2 linked regions of the Lytechinus pictus genome follow. The protein of the gene in region 1 purifies or fractionates together with the protein of each later gene. This does not show direct contact. Links are inferred from orthologs where the notes say so. Each region holds a gene or a part of one and is shown in the gene's direction. Other genes may lie near its edges. The genes, in order: gamma-tubulin complex component 2-like and gamma-tubulin complex component 3-like.

The links.
Region 2: the proteins of gamma-tubulin complex component 2-like (region 1) and gamma-tubulin complex component 3-like fractionate together in Drosophila melanogaster (co-fractionation; 3 studies listed by BioGRID). This does not show direct contact. The link is inferred for Lytechinus pictus from reciprocal best matches to the Drosophila melanogaster genes Grip84 and Grip91.

Annotation. Positions count from the first base shown.
Region 1 is NC_087246.1:47,395,176-47,403,844, forward strand, and holds the start of gamma-tubulin complex component 2-like, read left to right. Parts: upstream 1-5,159; 5' UTR 5,160-5,238; intron 5,239-8,669. Other genes in the region: pre-mRNA-splicing factor SPF27-like, read left to right, coding at 1,107-1,323.
Region 2 is NC_087260.1:8,323,058-8,332,527, forward strand, and holds the start of gamma-tubulin complex component 3-like, read left to right. Parts: upstream 1-5,824; 5' UTR 5,825-5,910; intron 5,911-6,062; exon of another isoform or gene 6,063-6,128; intron 6,129-8,785; 5' UTR 8,786-8,797; coding exon 8,798-8,900; intron 8,901-9,470.

The DNA of each region.
Region 1 (8,669 bases):
GATCTGATAAGTTTTTGGGGTCACAAGATAAAGATCACACTGTTTATTCTTTGAAAAGTTAAAAAATTTAATGCAGTAATGTTTTCTGATCTATTGTTGGCAGAGTCAGAGAAATGCCAGTCCAGTGCAAAGACCAGTGCACGGAAAACAAATTATGCAAATCCATTGCTCTTATACTCCTGTGCCATTCCGTTTTGCTAAATATAAAATATGTTTGACATAGTCCAATCTTTATAAGAAGATCTTTCTAAACTTTTCTGCTGGGAAGAAAATAACATAGCGCATTCCTCCAAAGCAGAAGGTCATTTTATGAACAGAAAATGTTGTATTTTATGTGAGTTTTAATAGTAGACTTTAATGATATTAAAAAAGAAAAAATCTGGATTTTGTCAAATAATATAATACAAGGTTTATCCTTATAAATCATATTTGATTTGATATGATTTATTTATTTCCACATTCCAATAACAAAAGTTTATACAAGTGTAATCATTTTTTTCTCTGCATAATCATAAGCAAAAAACCATAAAGAATAACATATGCATACAATACATACATTCTAACAATCTACTTGAAATATATCTATACCTGATAATTTTTTTTTTCCAAATTATTAAAACAAATAGCAGACAAAAATAAATAAATATAACAATATAATACATTTTGGAATGTGGGAGACCTCCATCTTAAGCTTAGAGCTTGAAATTGATGAAGGCCTCGAAAGGAAAGGGGAAGGAAAACCAGATAAACAGTGCAATAATATTTGCAATTGTATTGATTTAATACCATTGCAAATATGATTTATAAGGATAAACCTTATATTATATTACTGTATTTGATAAAATCCAGATTTTTTTTTCTTTTTGAATATCATTAAAGTCTACACTATTTGTTTGTTCAGCTGTCACTGTGGCCTTTCGGGAGAGGGGGTGGGGGCACAGTTACCTCTGGTTTTGAATGACATAACTGGAAATGCTATTGTCGGATTTTACAAGTATACCCACATATTTTGTTATTTTTTGTTATTTTCTATGACTTTAAGTCCATTGAGCAGTACTCCTGTGCATATAATACCAGGTAACATTTCTCTCTTTTTTTCTGTGTAGCTGGGCTGGTTTGGTGTCCAAGAACTACGAGATAGAGAGGGCATGTCTTGAGCTGGAATACGATACCAACAACCTCAAACACCAGGTGGATTCCTTGAAACCCAGTACTGACACACAATATGGACAAGCTAATCGCCAAAACGATGATGTTGATATGGAGGAGAGTGATGAGGATGACGACGACGACGATGATGATGAGTATGCTGCTTCAAGATGATACTGTGGAAGGGATTCTTACAATATTTTGAAATTTTCAGTGTCATTGGACTTTTTGGAGAATGACAAAAGTGGTGCAGTGTAAATTTAGCTTTTTAGCTATTTATTCCCTTCTTTGGAAACAGATGTTCTGAATATTTAGGAGATATATAAAAAGTTTAATTTAACTTGTAAAGATGAAATTTAATTCTGGCTGTAAATTGGAGTAATGGAGTACACTGTCTCAAAGTGATCGATAAATGCTGTGTGTAAAGGCCACCGCACACCTTACGACTGTTTGCGATCCGATTTTGGAACAAATCGCATTTTGCTCATTTTCTGAAAAAGTGAATGGAGCAAATAATTTTATTTGAGGTTAAAATTAATACTAATATAACCATTTTGAAAGATTACAAGCCTTTATTTTAGAGTAAAGGCCAAATTAGTTTCAAATCGTAGGCAATCGTACGACTGCTTACGTCTAGATATTAAATTCACTTTTATTCTAAGAAGGATGATAGCACAGTCACAGATTTGAACACAGGTATTCGTACAATGATTTAGGACATTACACAGTAAGATATTCCAAGTCTCAGTATTAGCATCAAATTCTACTACATTTTATTCTAAATTCGGGTCGCAGACCAATCGTATGGTGTGCGGTCGCCTTAATGTATCTAAGAATTGGGGCTTACTATAAGGCAATGGTATCACCAAAATGGTAGACATATTGACTCTAATCTTGTGAAGATCACATGCACTGCACTCAGATAAGCATGTATGGGACTACACCAATATTGTTGGCCACACACTTCAATTGTCATTTTAATGACCAATCCTTTACACTTGATCATTTTCACATCATATGTCTTAAATATCATGAAAATAATTGGATTGCTCACAAGGATTATTTCCATCTTTCCAATAATTTTCGTTTATCTTTAAGCCTATTTAGATGGGCTTTTTTCAACCAAAATTTTTGATGGGGGATCAGTGGGACCCAACCCCACCACCCCTGCTTCGATCTCGGCTGGAAGAGGTCCGATTAACATAAATTTTGCAAGAGACATGTTGAAAATAAATGCCATTTGTGGTAACGATCTCAAAATGAGTTCGAACAGAATCCAATAAAGTAACCACCCCGGTATTTGTTTGTATTAATACAAATTTATGCCAAATGACTCTGGAAGGAAATATTTGATTACTGAGAAATAAACAAAATAAGCACAGAATTCCATATAATGTGTCCTTTTCCCAGAAATATTAATCCACTGTCCCACGTATGCTTTTTGTCTCGCCCACCAGAGGTGAAGGCGAGACTTAGGGATCCAAATGTCGTCCGTCACAAACCTTATGACACAAAACTCCACAACCGTAAGTCGCTTTTCAACCAAACTTGGATGATAGATGGACATGGGGGACCTGCATTTTATGCTGCAGTCAGAGGTCACATGTTAAGGTCAAAGGTCATTTTCAGGTCAACATTAAAGTTTATGTGCAAGGCTCTTATGACAAGTGTTATTCCATCCCAGTCATTTCACAATGAAGTTTCGATACAATTATGTTGCGTGCCCTCGCAAATTACGATATTTCTGGTTGTTTTCATAAGTGGGCGAGACACAAAATCGCTTTTGCCTTGTATTTAATAGTGATCATACGTTAATGTACTGAAAAATAGATCTGTGATGACCTTGATTTTAATGACTTTCTCATGAAATAATTGTCTGCTGCAACTATTTTTTGCAGCAGCAGCATCATTTTTAGGTACTACACTGTTGTATATTATATGCATGTACTCTCATTTCAATATCATCTTATTGTTGAATAAGGTGTATTCATGGCACATATACATTGTATTGCAAATGCAATTTAAAAATAACCTGGGCTTATAAAGAGCTAAATAGCCTTAAATCTTAAAGAACCAGACTGGACCCCAATCATATATTAACAATTGAAAGCTCATATAATACTAAGCTAAGCAATGCAAGCTTTATGCATCTCTACTGCTTACCAGCTGAGTATTCTACTTCAGAAAAGCTCTAAGCTCTCTACCAGGCTTCGAAAATAGGCTTTCTTGTGCTCTACACTGGCCTCGAAACCGTGACGTCATGCAGTGCTAGAAGCGTTGTGATTCCATAGGTTTGTACGCAGAATAAGCGGTTGATTTTTCACTTTTCAAATTATGCATTCTACTTTCCTTACTTCTATCACATAGAGATATCTTTAGCTGCAAACTTGGACTGATCAAATCTACAGTTTTAGATTATATTTTACCATATTTATTTCCCGCTTATTTTGCGCAGCTTTCCAATTCTATCTGCATTCAGATTAGATTACACATAACAATTTTTCCTGACGTAGCAGTTGTGTCCAATAAGAGTCAATCAAAGAAATCAAAAAGAACTTTGTGAAGACTGAAGAGTTGTATGTTTCCATTCATTTGAGCACAGAATAATTGTTAGTGCCATTTTCCTCTGCAAATTGAAATAAAAATATATAAGCTGGAAAGAAAATCTTTTCTTCGTACAAACCTATGGAATCACAACCCTCCTGACACAATGTGACTTCACATAAATCAATGTGTTCTGTTTATTATTTGATTGCATATTGAGATATTTTGAAAGGAAATAGATGTCAATCATGCTAGTTCATTTTTGTTGAGAACTAGCTTCATTTGGATTAGTTGTAATGAATCCAGTCCTGCTGTAAAAGATTCATTTTTATGTTGTAAATAAATTTCCTATGAAACTGAATCATTGCAGCATTCAACTGTTTTGTCTATTTTCATTTCACTGATTATCATTTTTGTGGTGATCACAGTTAGAGCTACATTTAAAGGGGAATTTCACCCATTGATAAGTTGGTTTGAATAGTGAAAAAAAGATGGAGAAAAATACTGGTGAAGGTTTGATGAAAATCTGTCAAGAATAACAGAGTTATGAATTGCTCAAAGTTTTTTTTATTTATTGACCTTACAGACAAGTAGCTCCTCCATGTGTTATGTAATCTGAGTCCCCCAAAATGTCATTCTCTCAAAAAATTGGAAATGATTTTTACGGTGGATAAATTATTACACACATTTCATACCCAAATCTGCAAGAAAAATATTTGAATTCATGTTAAAAAATATGGAATGTATGGAATTTTTATGACATAATTGCTAAATGGAGAAACTCCTCGCATGTGATGACACATATTAGATTATTCTTTGATGGAATTTCATTGAAAGTTCACCAATATTTTCTCAATTTTATTCTGCTTTTATTAAAACCAACTTGTCATCAGGGTGAACCTCCCCTTTAAAGACTTTAAATGCTTAGATGCGATTATATACCCCTCCCTGGATTATGAAGATAAAGTTTGTAATTGTTATCTAACAGGTACTATAGTAACAGTTAGATGCTTGGTGCTTCTTGGCCAATCAAATCCTGGAAAGATTTTGTATCAGATAGTGGTATATATAATGATTACCAAAAATACTGAGACAGCTAGCTGGTATATTGGCCAGGGGAAAATTTAAAAGGTAAACAAATGTTTTTGACCTTTTTGAATTCTATTGTGATTGATTTTGACATAATACAAAGATAATACTTTTCCTTTTCATTTTCTTTCATTTTCTCCTTTATTTGAATGGTCATTTCGGGTCCCAGACCCCCCCCCCCCTCCCCCCTAAATAAAAGAGGAAAAATGAATAGTATATACTGAAACAAATTTTTTTTTAATAAATAAGTGGTATATATAATTTGCGGGAAAAAAATGAGTTGGTGATATTCGATTTTGACTGATGGCCATGCATGCATTGCATCACGAACCAACGCCAACAATTTTACGTTAAAAAAAAAAAAAACGATAAAGGCTAGGCGACATTACAATACGTGAACGAGGATACTCTTCTAATTTGACGTTTCGCCGCGAACATTAACAGAGAATGCATCTCGTAAGTCAAATTTGTTTTGTTTTTTAAGTTTGAATTAGGGGCTAATAAGGATTTCGTTTCACATGTAACCATTTTTAATTTTCAGAATGAAATTTAGAACATAGATCTTAAACATTTTATCGAATGCATTGAAATATAGGATTTACAACGGCCGAAATTTGTGTAGGCATAAAGTAACTAACGTGAAAAGTGGTTTATGGGACCGTAGACTGGGAATCTTGTCCGTCTGTCAAGGGTCGGGCGTTATTCCCCGCGCGAGCTGGGCGGCGCGTGCCTCGGCTCTGCCGGCCGAGGCTGTGCTAGACCAAAAGCTTCGGTCTCTGTTTATGGTTGTTCCGCTGAACTACGTTGGACCCAATCACCAATTACAGAGAGACAGAACTGAAGTTCTAACTCGATCTGTACAGCCTACATGGGGAGACAATCTCCCACAAGTGACATTGGACTAATTTGGAGACTTGCTTTGCCTTTGCAAAAGGACAAAAGAAACAACACCAACAAAAAGTCAAAAGCATGATTTTTTTCCACCCAAAATTTTGTCTCACTGAGGTCAGAAGCCCATTTGTTTTGTGTGTGATTAACAACAAAAATCCTTATCAAAACAAAAGTAGACGGTGAATTTTTAAAGTAGACGGTGAAAAGGGGTAATTTTTCATGAGGAATCTGCTTATCACATTTTTATTTGCCGCCAAGGTAATCCTTTTGCAGCAAATGTAAACAAAGGAAATTGGTCTCCAAAACTGGAGACTGTCTCTGAAATTGGATACCCAAATTCTTTACAAAAGTCTCTGATATTGGAGATAATCTCCCACATTGGAGACAGTCTCCAATATTGGCCGTGCGCCTCTACTGACAGGGACTCAATGGCCATATTAATATTACCTCAGGCGATGTTCGTGCAGGCTCCACTTCACTACCGCTACACTCCGCTCCACCTACCCGAACATTGGGACCGTGAACCATTTCGGATATACCAAGTCACAAAGGTGGGATGGCAATCATGATAATCGTAAAAAAAATATATATATATATAACGAAAAAGATGATTGACTTAATATCTTACTCTACACCCGTATTTCACTCCGTTTCCATCCTCCGGTTATCCTCAAAATTGGTGATTTTGGGCCAGTATCAAATTCCTCACACGTATTATTCACGGCCGATTTCGAAACATTGTATGCAACGAACGTAGAGGGCAGCAACACACATCAGTGTGAGGAAGGTCCACTCGATACGGCTTTTGAAATCGGCCGTGAATAATATGTGTGAGGAATTTGATACTGGCCCAAAATCACTAATTTTGAGGATAACCGGAGTATAGAAACGGAGTGAAATATGGGTGTAGAGTAAGATATTAAGTCAGTCATCTTTTTCATTATATTTTTTTGGTTTAATTTTTACGATTATCATGATTGCCATCCCACCTTTGTGACTCGGTATATCGGAAATGGTTCACGGTCCCGATGTTTGGGTAGGTGGAGCGGTAGTGAAGTGGAATGGAGCCTGCACGAACATCGCCTGAGGAGTGAGGTATGGCCATATGTACTTTATGACTTATGTATTATAAGCTCAGATAAACCAGGGAAGTGGGAGTTGCGTGACAGCCGAAGCCCGGGCCGGGGGGGGCCACTTACATTGACTAGTGGATACCATGCGCGACCCCAAAAACACGTTAAAAGGATGTCTTTTTCAAGATAGGGCACGTTACGTACGTAACGTAATAAGGGTGTCAAAAACACTAAAATAATTTTTAAAAAGGGTATCTACTTTCGCTAGGGTCAAATTTGCGATGGTGTAAAAAATTAAGACTAAAAATAAAATGTCTTATAAAGGATGTACTTTTTGCCCCAAGAGTCAACACTACGTGTTTGGAGTACGATTTGCGCGAGTGAGGCTGTACTAAAACCAATGATGTAGGTAAAGGTAAAACCGACGACCGACGTCCATGACATAATAATTGAAATATCGCTGTATTTGTTTAGGGGTTCAATTCAGGGAATACTTGCCAATAGTATCGTTTTTTTTCCAATACTTGTTAAGGGTAGGGTTTCACACGCCAATACTTGTTAAGGGGTGCATTTTCAGAGTATGGAAAATACGTGTTTAGGGTGCTTTTTGAGACCTCATGGTCGTGCATGGTATCCACTCGTCAATGGAAGTGCCCCCCCCCCCCCCCCCCGGAGCCGAAGTAAGTCACTGTTTTTTTTTTCCTTTTAAGAATTAGATCTAAGTTTCTTTTTTCCCGTTTTGGTGCATTTCAGGCCAAAACAGAATAATGTTTATTTTGGTCCAGCTCTTTTATATATTTTTATGAAATAAAGTAAGCCTGAGTCATAAAATTCGATTATTTTGAAATCCGGTGTTCGACAGCTTTTATTCTATCGAACATCGATGCATCGAATTGTGGAGGCAGGGAAAATCAAGTCAATTTTTTTTGCTCCGGCCGTCGATGCACGCACTGCGACGGTATGCGCTGGAAGGGTACGCGTTGCACAAGCAGATGACAGAGCAAAAGTTCACTTGTATTTTCTATGATCACAAACACAAAAAAAGGGACTAATGCAGAATTCTTCCCAAAATATCTTAAACAATGATATTTGCAGATGACAACATAAGTTTAAAATGAAAATTAAAGACATGAATCACGCAGAGTCGATCCGAATGATTTTTGGTCAACTAGCATGAGCAGTCCGGACTCGCTTACACTACAGCCCGTCTGCAGCCCCGTTCACTCACTCTTGTGAAACGACAGGCGTGCTTGCCGGCAAAACAGTGCTCTACCAGTGCAGAGCACTGTAACTCGCCTGAGATGTAGTTGTTTATGTTTATTTTGATGATTGTGTGAACCATATGAAACGGCCGGCCAACGTTTGATCTATTTTTTTTTTTTCGATGCACCGATTTTGCAAAATCTGCACCGGCGCTCGATGACATCGATCGAACACCGATTATAAAATCGATTTGATGTTGACGGGGGGATTTTGCATTGTTAACCCCCCAAATGGCGTCTGCAAGATCGCGAGCTGTCTGTGTTCGAGGAGAAATTTTTTTGTTTTAATGTTAAAAAACTCCTCAAAACAGACGGCTGCCAGCTGTCTAAGGCTGTGCCTGCCCTCCCTGGCTTGATCAGGGCTGAGCCTCGCACCTCAGGTTGCTCTGTTCCTCAGTTGTTAGACCGAAATATTATTTCACTGGGCGCTAATGCAGTTTCGCACCGGCACACTTCGAGCAAATTTCCCCATCAAATGGCATTTGGAAATGCCCGGGGGGGGGGGGGGCACTTCCATCAGTAACAGGCGCTGGTCAGAAAATTGGGATCGTCCCAGTTTGTTTGGGACTGTCTCAGTTTTCAAAGATTTCTCGACACAAAATATCTAGGAAACTAAGTATAACTTCATTCTCCTGACTCAGGAGAATGAAGTTATAGACTA
Region 2 (9,470 bases), on another chromosome or scaffold:
TCTCTTTAGATTCCTTTTTTGTGGTCTGTACGCCACTGTGAACATGATTCTTTGCGGCAGTGAAGAGTAAAAAAAAATAAAAAACGAGGGGTGCAGCTACAGCACATGTGCTAAAAAGCTGTCCCGAGCGAGCGAAGCGAGTGAGAAAAAAATCACCGCTTCATGAGAATCTAACTTTGAGCTATTTTTTGACATATTCAGTAAATAAAATCATATCCTACACTTTTCCTTTGCTTTTCTTTCCTCCTTTTTTGTTTGTTCTTTGTAGAACTTTTGGGGCCATGGCCCAACCCTTCCATACAAAGTGCTGTGCGGTTGGGGTCCGGGGCGGAGCCCCTGAACTTCACGATATCAAAGCCATTTAAACCTCGAAGATTGCCGCTGTTTTAATAAAATCGCAGGTATATATAGAATACAGCTTTTACACAACACATAGATTCAACCCAGTTGCGTAATTAACCAAATATTTTGATGGGGCAAATCATAGCAAAGTGGGAAAACTTTGTAAAAAGTGCTAGCGTGCAAAGCGAGCTGGAAAAAAATTGCCTATTGAAATTAAATTCTAATTATGTGATATATTTTTCCATTATATATTCAGCAAATAACACATTTCATTGTTTCCATTCATTTCATTATACGTTGTCTCCTATAATTTCTTTTATTTCCTCTTGGGTGTGGAACCAAGACCCCCCCCTCGCGCCTGTATGCCAGTGATTGAACATGATTGAACGGGGGGGGGGCGTTATAGAGCCATTTGAAGGTTATAAATAAAGAGCCTGCTTGGGGTCTGGGGCAAAGCCCCGGTAGCTTATTTGAATATAATTTAGCGAACTTATAGCACAATGTTGTTTGCAGTCCATCTTTCTTCCCACTCATTAATTTCAATCATCGGCAGCCCGGTCATGTTATTATTTTTTTCTTGTCCCTTTTCTTTGTTTTCCAATTTAGCTTTTGACTAATCCCATTCTACCTACGTTTCCCGCTATTGTTTGCCATTTTTTCATCTTTTGATTTATTTCCCACGGTGCTATTGCATTACATAGGCCTTTTTCGGAATGATTTGTTCTTTCTCAATTGTTCTTTTTTGTACATTTCCCGCTTTCCTTCCTTTCCCATTAAATTCTTCGTTTTCTTTTCCCTGTCCCTTTCCTTTCCCCTCTTTCCTTTTCCCCTTTCCTTCCCCTTTCCCTTTCTTTCTTCCTCCTTTTTTTCTTTTTCCCGCTTTTCGTTTATTTTCCCGGTGAAATCCGCCAGGGGGGGGGGGGCAACTTGCCCCCCTGCCCCCCCCCGCCTGTTACGCCACTGGGGTCACGACCGGCAGGAGCAACCGGGCCTCAACCAGGAGCAGCAAGAAGCTTTCGAGAGATCGCCACAGTGACATCCCTACTTTGTTGGACACCTTCTAGTCCAGGATAGGCCCCATAGAAAATTGACGAAACCTTGTTTTTTTATATATACAATATTTTTTGATAGTTTCTTGTCAATTCGAGGGTGCTGATTACGAATCTGGATGATGCCACTCGCGTAACCTTGAGCATTTTCCGCAAATTGGCAAAATCCAATATGGCCGCCAAAATATGCAAATTACCCATGAATATCGTAAAATTGTCCGCACATTGGCTGTGAAATGCATGAAATTGTGTGGCAGGAGTGAAATACTCTCTGAAAAAAAAATTTTTGACAAAATATTTATGTTTCTGATATTCAAAATGGGCGCCATAGGCCATTGTATACACTAGCTATTATGTAAAATATGAAAAGGGAAAACTAATAATTTCACAAAAATGAGCACTAGACTGCAAAAATCGCGATGTATGAACGAATTAATATATGCAAATCATCATTACTAACGAAAGATTCCAAGATCAAGCAGCAGGGTCACGACCGGCAGGAGCAACCGGGCCTCAACCAGGAGCAGCAAGAAGCTTTCGAGAGATCGCCACAGTGACATCCCTACTTTGTTGGACACCTTCTAGTCCAGGATAGGCCCCATAGAAAATTGACCAAACCTTGTTTTTTTTATATATACAATATTTTTTGAAGGTTTCTTGTCAATTCGAGGGTGCTGATTACGAATCTGGATGATGCCACTCGTGTAACCTTGAGCATTATCCGCAAATTGGCAAAATCCAATATGGCCGCCAAAATATGCAAATGATGTGTCTCCATTATGATGAAATTATTATGTTGCGGCAATAAATAACTAATGCATTTAATCAGTTGTCAATCCAATTGTTTTAGTTCTTGGTAGAAATTTTTTGAATAAACCTACTTTCATATAATAAAATACAAAAGAACAAGTGGGGATGTGACATCATCAGCCCGCCTAATGAATATTCATAAAGACATGCCTAGACCTGGTTCACTGGAATAATGCAAATCTGTAAAATTCAATAACTTTGTTATTTGTTATCCGATTTTGATGAAATTTTCAGCATTTTGCTTTGTGAATTTTACTCTATTTATTGAGATATGAATATCGCCAGCCTGGATCATCCCTTTAACTCTCTTTTCATGTAATGACAATCCCCTAACCGTCTTTAGAACCCCCCCTCTTCCCCGCTCCCCCTCGATCTCTTTCACAATATCTGTGATTCCCCTTTTTACCCTGCTCTCTCGTTTCTTCTTTTGTCCACTCCCTAAGTTCTCACCCCCTTTCACAATTCCTTCCCCCTTCTCTCCCCCTCTCTTGCTCTCAATATGATTCCCCTTTTCTCCGTTCACTCTCTTTTCCTCTATATGAGCATAAACTCCCCCCACTCTCAATCTCTCTCTCTCTCTCTCTCTGAGAACTATACCTGTCATTTCTTTCCCTCGCCTAACTTGTTTTCCTTCTTTGATTCTCATTGTCTTTTCTCTGGCCCATGCACCTCCCACCCCGCCCCTTTTTCTGTGATTTCTTTCTTCTACCTAATAGGCCCCTACATATGTTTCCTCTTTTGCCCACTCACTAACCATGTAGGCCTACCAATGGGGGGGGGGGGGGGTAATCCCCCTCACACACACCCACATGCACCTCCACACCAGACCGTACGCAGGATTTCTTAAGGGGGGGGGTTCAAGGTGATTGAAATGTTAACAACCTAAAAAAAAAGGTTTTCCAATTTAGGTCGTTTCCAACCACCCAAAAATTCGACAAGCAAAAAAAAAGGTTTTCATATTTTTTTAAGGGGGTTTGAATTCTTAGGGGCTTGGGAGGGGGGTTGGGTATCAAAAATATTAAAGAGGTGTTTGAACCCCTGCACCCCCTGCGTACGCCACTAGGCCTACGATATGGAATCATCCACCCGCATCAACCCCCACCCCCCCCCCCCGGTTTTATAGACGCGCTGTTTACACCACTAGCTGTTTAAAGAATAATCATGTTGGACTTATTCGATGTCGAAAGTATATCAATAAAATTATCATGATCATCACGTATAAAATAGGGAAATGGCCTATTATTGTATAGGCCTTTCACCAAGTTGTACAACTTGACAGATTTGAATTCACGAATGAACTAGTGAAAAAAACATTTGGTCGGTAGTATCTGATTTTTAAAAAAGAAGAAAATGTCACGTCTAAACATATATGAAACATCTTGATACCTCAGTCACCAGGAAATTGTCAAGAAATGAATCATGTAAAATAATGCTTGAATTCCAATATAAGTGTAAAATATAGATCATCAACCCTATCTGGATCGACCAATTCCGGGGACCGGGATAGTCCTGTCCCCCTGTCTCATCACCCGAACACTTGTTTTCTTCTTGATCGAGTTCCATTGCTTTGTGGTAAAAAAAAATGAGTTAAAAGCTCAAAATTAAAAGCTCCATGTAACTTAGGCCTATTTGGGTAGATAGATATATCCGGGATAAATATATGCTTTTTAGCATCCCAATTCACCCGTCTCTCTCCGATCTTAATCAGTCCTTTTTTTCTGTCATCTCTAGCTATAACTGTCTTTCCTCTCCCACTTTCCCGTCTCTTTTTCTCTCATTTTTCATTTTATTTTGTTTTATTTTATCCATCTATTCATATTCACATACGAACCATATGTTTTTTAAAAAAGCACAACATCCTATCCGATACTCAATTTGGTTTCCGGGAAAAGAGTAGCACTTCCCACGCAATACTTTCTTTAGTTCAAACAGTTGCCAAAGCTTATGACAAGTCTTCGAATACGATTGGTTTGTTTTTAGATTTTTCAAAAGCATTCGATACAGTTGATCATAACATTCTCCTTTATAAACTTTCTCATTATGGAATAAGATGAGAACCACTAAAGTGGTTCAAGAATTATCTAACCGGGCGTTCACAGTTCGTTTCACTCGATTGTAATATTTCTGAACGTAAACCTGTCCTTTGTGGAGTTCCACAGGGCAGCATTCTTGGCCCACTTTTGTTCATTACTTATATAAATGATATTGATATGTCATCTAGATTGCTTCAATTTATACTTTTCGCTTATGACTCTAATATATTTCTGTCGCACCCCGACCCAGAGCAATTGACGCAAATATTCAATGACGAACTAAAAAATGTGTCTAATTTGATAACAGCTAACAAACTCTCTCTTAACCTAGAAAAAACTAGCTACATGCTATTTAGCAACAAGATTACGAATGTACCAAAAGATGTAATTTTAAATGATATTGTCATTCATAGAGTGCGATCTACTAAATTTTTGGGACTGATCATAGACGAAAAACTTTCTTGGAAAGCACATATTGATAATATTTGTAAAATCATTGCTCGCAACATCGGTGTCATTAGAAAATTAAGTTACTTCTTACCCCATTTTATTTTGTTATCATTGTATTCAACGTTAATTTTACCTTATTTGAATCACGGAGTTGTTGCGTGGGGTAATGCAGCGAATTCTCAAATTAATAGACTTTTTATTTTACAAAAAAGAGTGATTCGTATTATTAGTCATGCAGAATTCAGGGCACATACAAATATTCTGTTTTTGAGAAATAAAGTCTTGAAGGTTGAAGATTTATATTCTTTTCAACTCGGACAGTTAATGTTCAAGTTTATCAATAAACAATTACCGTTACCTTTTAATAATATGTTTGTAAAAAATAATACAATTCATAAGCATTTCACTCGCCAGGCGAGTTCCTTTCATTTACCTCTGAATAGAACATCGTTTGCACAGAAGACATTTGTTTTTACTGGTCCAAAATTATGGAATTCTTTTTCAAAGGATATTATACAATGTAATTCAATACACAATTTCAAAGGAAAACTTAAAATATATCTTCTGAATTCATATTAGATTATCGTTTTTTCCCAAAGTAATGTAATTCAGAACTTAATATGTAAATGTGTTTATTAATTTCTCTTTGTATATATGTTTAATCGTTTTATGATTTCTGTATACAGTGTATACTGAATCATTTATTTTTATTATTATGTATTTATTTTTATTTTTATTTGTTTATTTTTTAAGATCATTTTATATATATATATATATATATATATATATATATATTGTTTATTTCTTTATTTTATCTTATTTTTTATTCATAAAATTTACTTATAAAAGGGGGCCTTCACCCTACAAGCTCTGCTTTTTAGTTGGTCTCCTTCCCTTTCGATTTCATGGTATTATTGAATTATAAAAAATGATTTAAATGTTATATTTTGTAAATATGTTTATTGAACTATTATTGTAAATGTAAAAAGATTGAAAGAGAAAATAAATGAATTGAATTGAATTGAATTGAATATTTTGAAGGAGGAGGGGGGGGGGGGGCTCGAGGAAAGCCGCCCCATGCCTGCCATGGATGTGTTCACGCGCAGTGCGCACAATTCAATGAGATCGAAGCTAAAAAGCGGTCTGAAAAACTGGCGCCGAGGCGTAGATTTCAACGAGAAGTTTGTACTTGTTAATTGTATCTGATTCTGAAAATAACTTGTAATGTAAGTGTAGCTTTTTTATACCTTTTTTTTTGTTTAGACAGACACTCATATTGATCTGAATTGATTTCATTATTTTTACCTCCTTACCAAGGCAATATCATGATTTCTTCAGGCTTTAGAAAATATAATTATAAAGTTAGATCGACGAGGATCCGATCGCAGAGATTGTACATGACCCACGCATTCACTTTCGTGTCTGTGGCGACATTCAATAGAAGGTAAAAATTAAAATAGGGTTATAAACTGATAAACTTGTTTTACGTTAGATAAGATAAGATTTTATTAATCGGGAGTATGATATGCTATCCACACTGCACTTTTTCCCCTTAACCCCAGGAAATTGGTGGGGCTAAGGGGTGTCTTCTTAGCCCCACCAATTTTCCGGGGTTAAGCTAACTCTAAGTCTAGACTCTAAGGTAGACCAAAAGCTTCAGTCTCTGTTATGTTGGTTGTTCAGCTGAACTCCGTTGGCTTCACTCACCAAATACAGAGACCGAAGTTCTAGCGCGATCTGTACAGGGGACTCAATGGCCATATGTTTATGTACTTAAGATCGGATAAAACGGGGAAGTGAATTTGCGCGACAGCCGAGGTAAGTCACTGTTTTTGTTCCTTTTAACTTGATTTTTCTCCGTTTTGGGGCAATTAATGCCAAGAGGGAATATTAATTTGCATTTTGGTCGCGTTAATTTTCAAAATTTTTTATTCATTAAAGACAAAAATTGAAGAGCCCCGACGGGGGGATTTCGCATTGCAAGTCCCCTAATGGTGGCTGCACGCTAGCGAGCCGTCTGTGTACGAGGAGAATTAAAAAAAAAAAAAATGTTAAAAAACTCCTCGAAACAGACGGCTGGCAGCTGTCTAACTCTAAGGCAGCTTAGCCCACTTCGTTTTCCTTTTAGCAAAGTGGGCTAGCACGGTAAATAGTACGGTACTATCTGGCCCTGCAAAATAGCAGGGTTAGCCGGCTTATTGTGGTGCTAGCACCACAATTGCGGTGCTAAGTAAGAGATGCAGTGTGAAACGAAACAGGGCTAAGGAAACTCTAGACCAAAAGCTTCAGTCTCTGTTATGTTGGTCGTTCAGCTGAACTCCGTTGGCTTCACTCACCAAATACAGAGACCGAAGTTCTAGCGCGATCTGTACAGGGGACTCACTGGCCATATGTTTATGTACTTAAGAGCGGATAAAACGGGGAAGTGAATTTGCGCGACAGCCGAGGTATAAGTCACTGTTTTTGTTCCTTTTAACTTGATTTTTCTCTGTTTTTTGGCAATTAATGCCAAGAGGGAATATTAATTTGCATTTTGGTCGCGTTAATTTTCAAAAATTTTATTCATCAAAGACAAAAATTGAAGAGCCCCGACGGGGGGATTTTGCATTGCAAGTCCCCTAATGGTGGCTGCACGCTAGCGAGCCGTCTGTGTACGAGGAGAAATAAAAAAAATAAAAAAATGTTTAAAAACTCCTCGAAACAGACGGCTGCCAGCTGTCTAAGGAAACTCAAGCACAATACATTAATTTGAAAATCTATAGCATCCCAATCATTGACAAAGCATTCCACGGGGGTTTGATCCCGGGGGGGGGGGGGGGGGGGGGCACTCGACCAAAAAAGTGGTAGGGGTGTGCTGCGGGCGAGGCAAAAAACGGGGGCCTTGGAGCGGGCTTATTGTAAAAAGGAGGGTCCTCGGAACGGGCTTCGGAACTACAAATGTTTGTGAAAACGGGGGTCCTCGGAACGGATCTCTGTAAGTGCGTATGCATCCCTATGGAACGGGCAATCGTGCATGACGCAGCTAGCGCGGCCTCCGCCGGGTGCGCTCGCGCTTAGGCGATGGTCGAAACGCGCTCTACGGCCGCTTTTCACCAAAATTGTAGCAGATCAATGCGACCGGAACGGCGTAACGAAAAATATGCGAAGCTTTGGAGCGGATTTCTTTCTTCTTTTTTCTCGATAAGAAGGAAATGCTATGCCTTGGAGCGGCTTTCTTTGTTCTTTTTCTCAATAAGACAAAAATGCTATTCCTTGGAACGGAAATTTCAGTGTAAAAATGGGGGTCCCCTCCGCGGCACATACCCACTCTGCATTATATACTGAGTGCCCCCCCCCCCGGGGGTTTGATATTCCATGTGGCGTGCCGATGTTAACCCTTTGGATCCGACTGGCTTCTGCCGAAGCGAAATATCAATATTTACTATTTTTGTCTCTAGAAGCATTGTTTTGGCTCAATATTTTTTGAAAATTTCAAATTAGTTATGGACAGCAAAAGGGAAGCTCTTGTGATGTTTTCATGTCAACATAATATGATAGAATCGTGAAAAAGAGACATATACAATTTTATAACTACTTACAAAATGGACAAATTGCAGCACTTTCCGACAATTTGCGCTCTTTTAGAGCTCACTCATTTTAAAAGGTGTATGATTATGAACACATTTTGTATACCAGTAATTATATAATTTATTTGTCGGCTCTGAGATAATTAACTTTTGATATTACTCGAATTATGGTTATTTCTGTTTGCTGATACCCGTTATACTGTACTAATGCATTATTAAAACTGAACCAGCCAAGTTAAAATCCAAATCTCTCTTGTTGCTACGAGAAACTGTCGCCAAATGAAAATGTCTGTTTTGTTGAAACAGCTGAAAAGGCATTGTTGAAACACATGTTTAAAAACAATGGACTCGTCGCCGGCTCGTCAGATGGGGTTAAAGCAGGCTGGAACTTAGCGGATAGATTCCTATCCTTCATAACACATTCCTGATTTAATCCAAGACAAGACAAAACAAGATGACTAGACTCAAACCATTGCTTTTACCGTGTAGCATCATATGTTTGACTTCCTGATTCTCTTTGATTATCTGTCGGTAGGTGATGTAGATAATGGCAAGCTTCACCATGTCTAACCCCGGAGCATCTGATGGGGACAACAGCCCTGCTGGACTTCTCCTGAGAATGGTACAAACTCTACTCAACAAGAAACAAGGTACAATTTATATTGGAAAAATATTGCTTTTTTGGCTGTACAAAGTTGAATCACCTGGGACTAGGGCTGAGTCATTAACAGATTTTTGTTTGACCGGTGACCATCCATGATTTTCCAGCGGAGACCTGTGGACTGCTAAAATAAACAAATACATACTATACTTATTAATAATTTGCACACAACTTGTCAACTGTTATTGTGCTGAGTACCATGTTGGCAAGGTTGTTTAAATGAAATGGGACTAAATTTTGCTACCTTTAATCAAATTCTAAAAAAAAAACGTGTTCTAATCTACAAAAATCTTATTTCAATTTCAAATAATGGGAATAGAAATAATTGAGAATCCGATTTAGCCCAAAATCGGAAGGCTCGGCCAGTTGGTCAGTGACCTTTTTCTTTTAAAGATATAACTTTGATGCCGTGCTGCACTGCACAAAGAGGTGATTAGATAAATACCAGTTGTGGTAATGACCTCAAAATGTGCCAAATGGCTCTGGAAGAAAATGCATAAATGCTGAGAAATGAAAAAAATAACCACAGAATTCCATCAAATGATGGGTATTTTTCCAC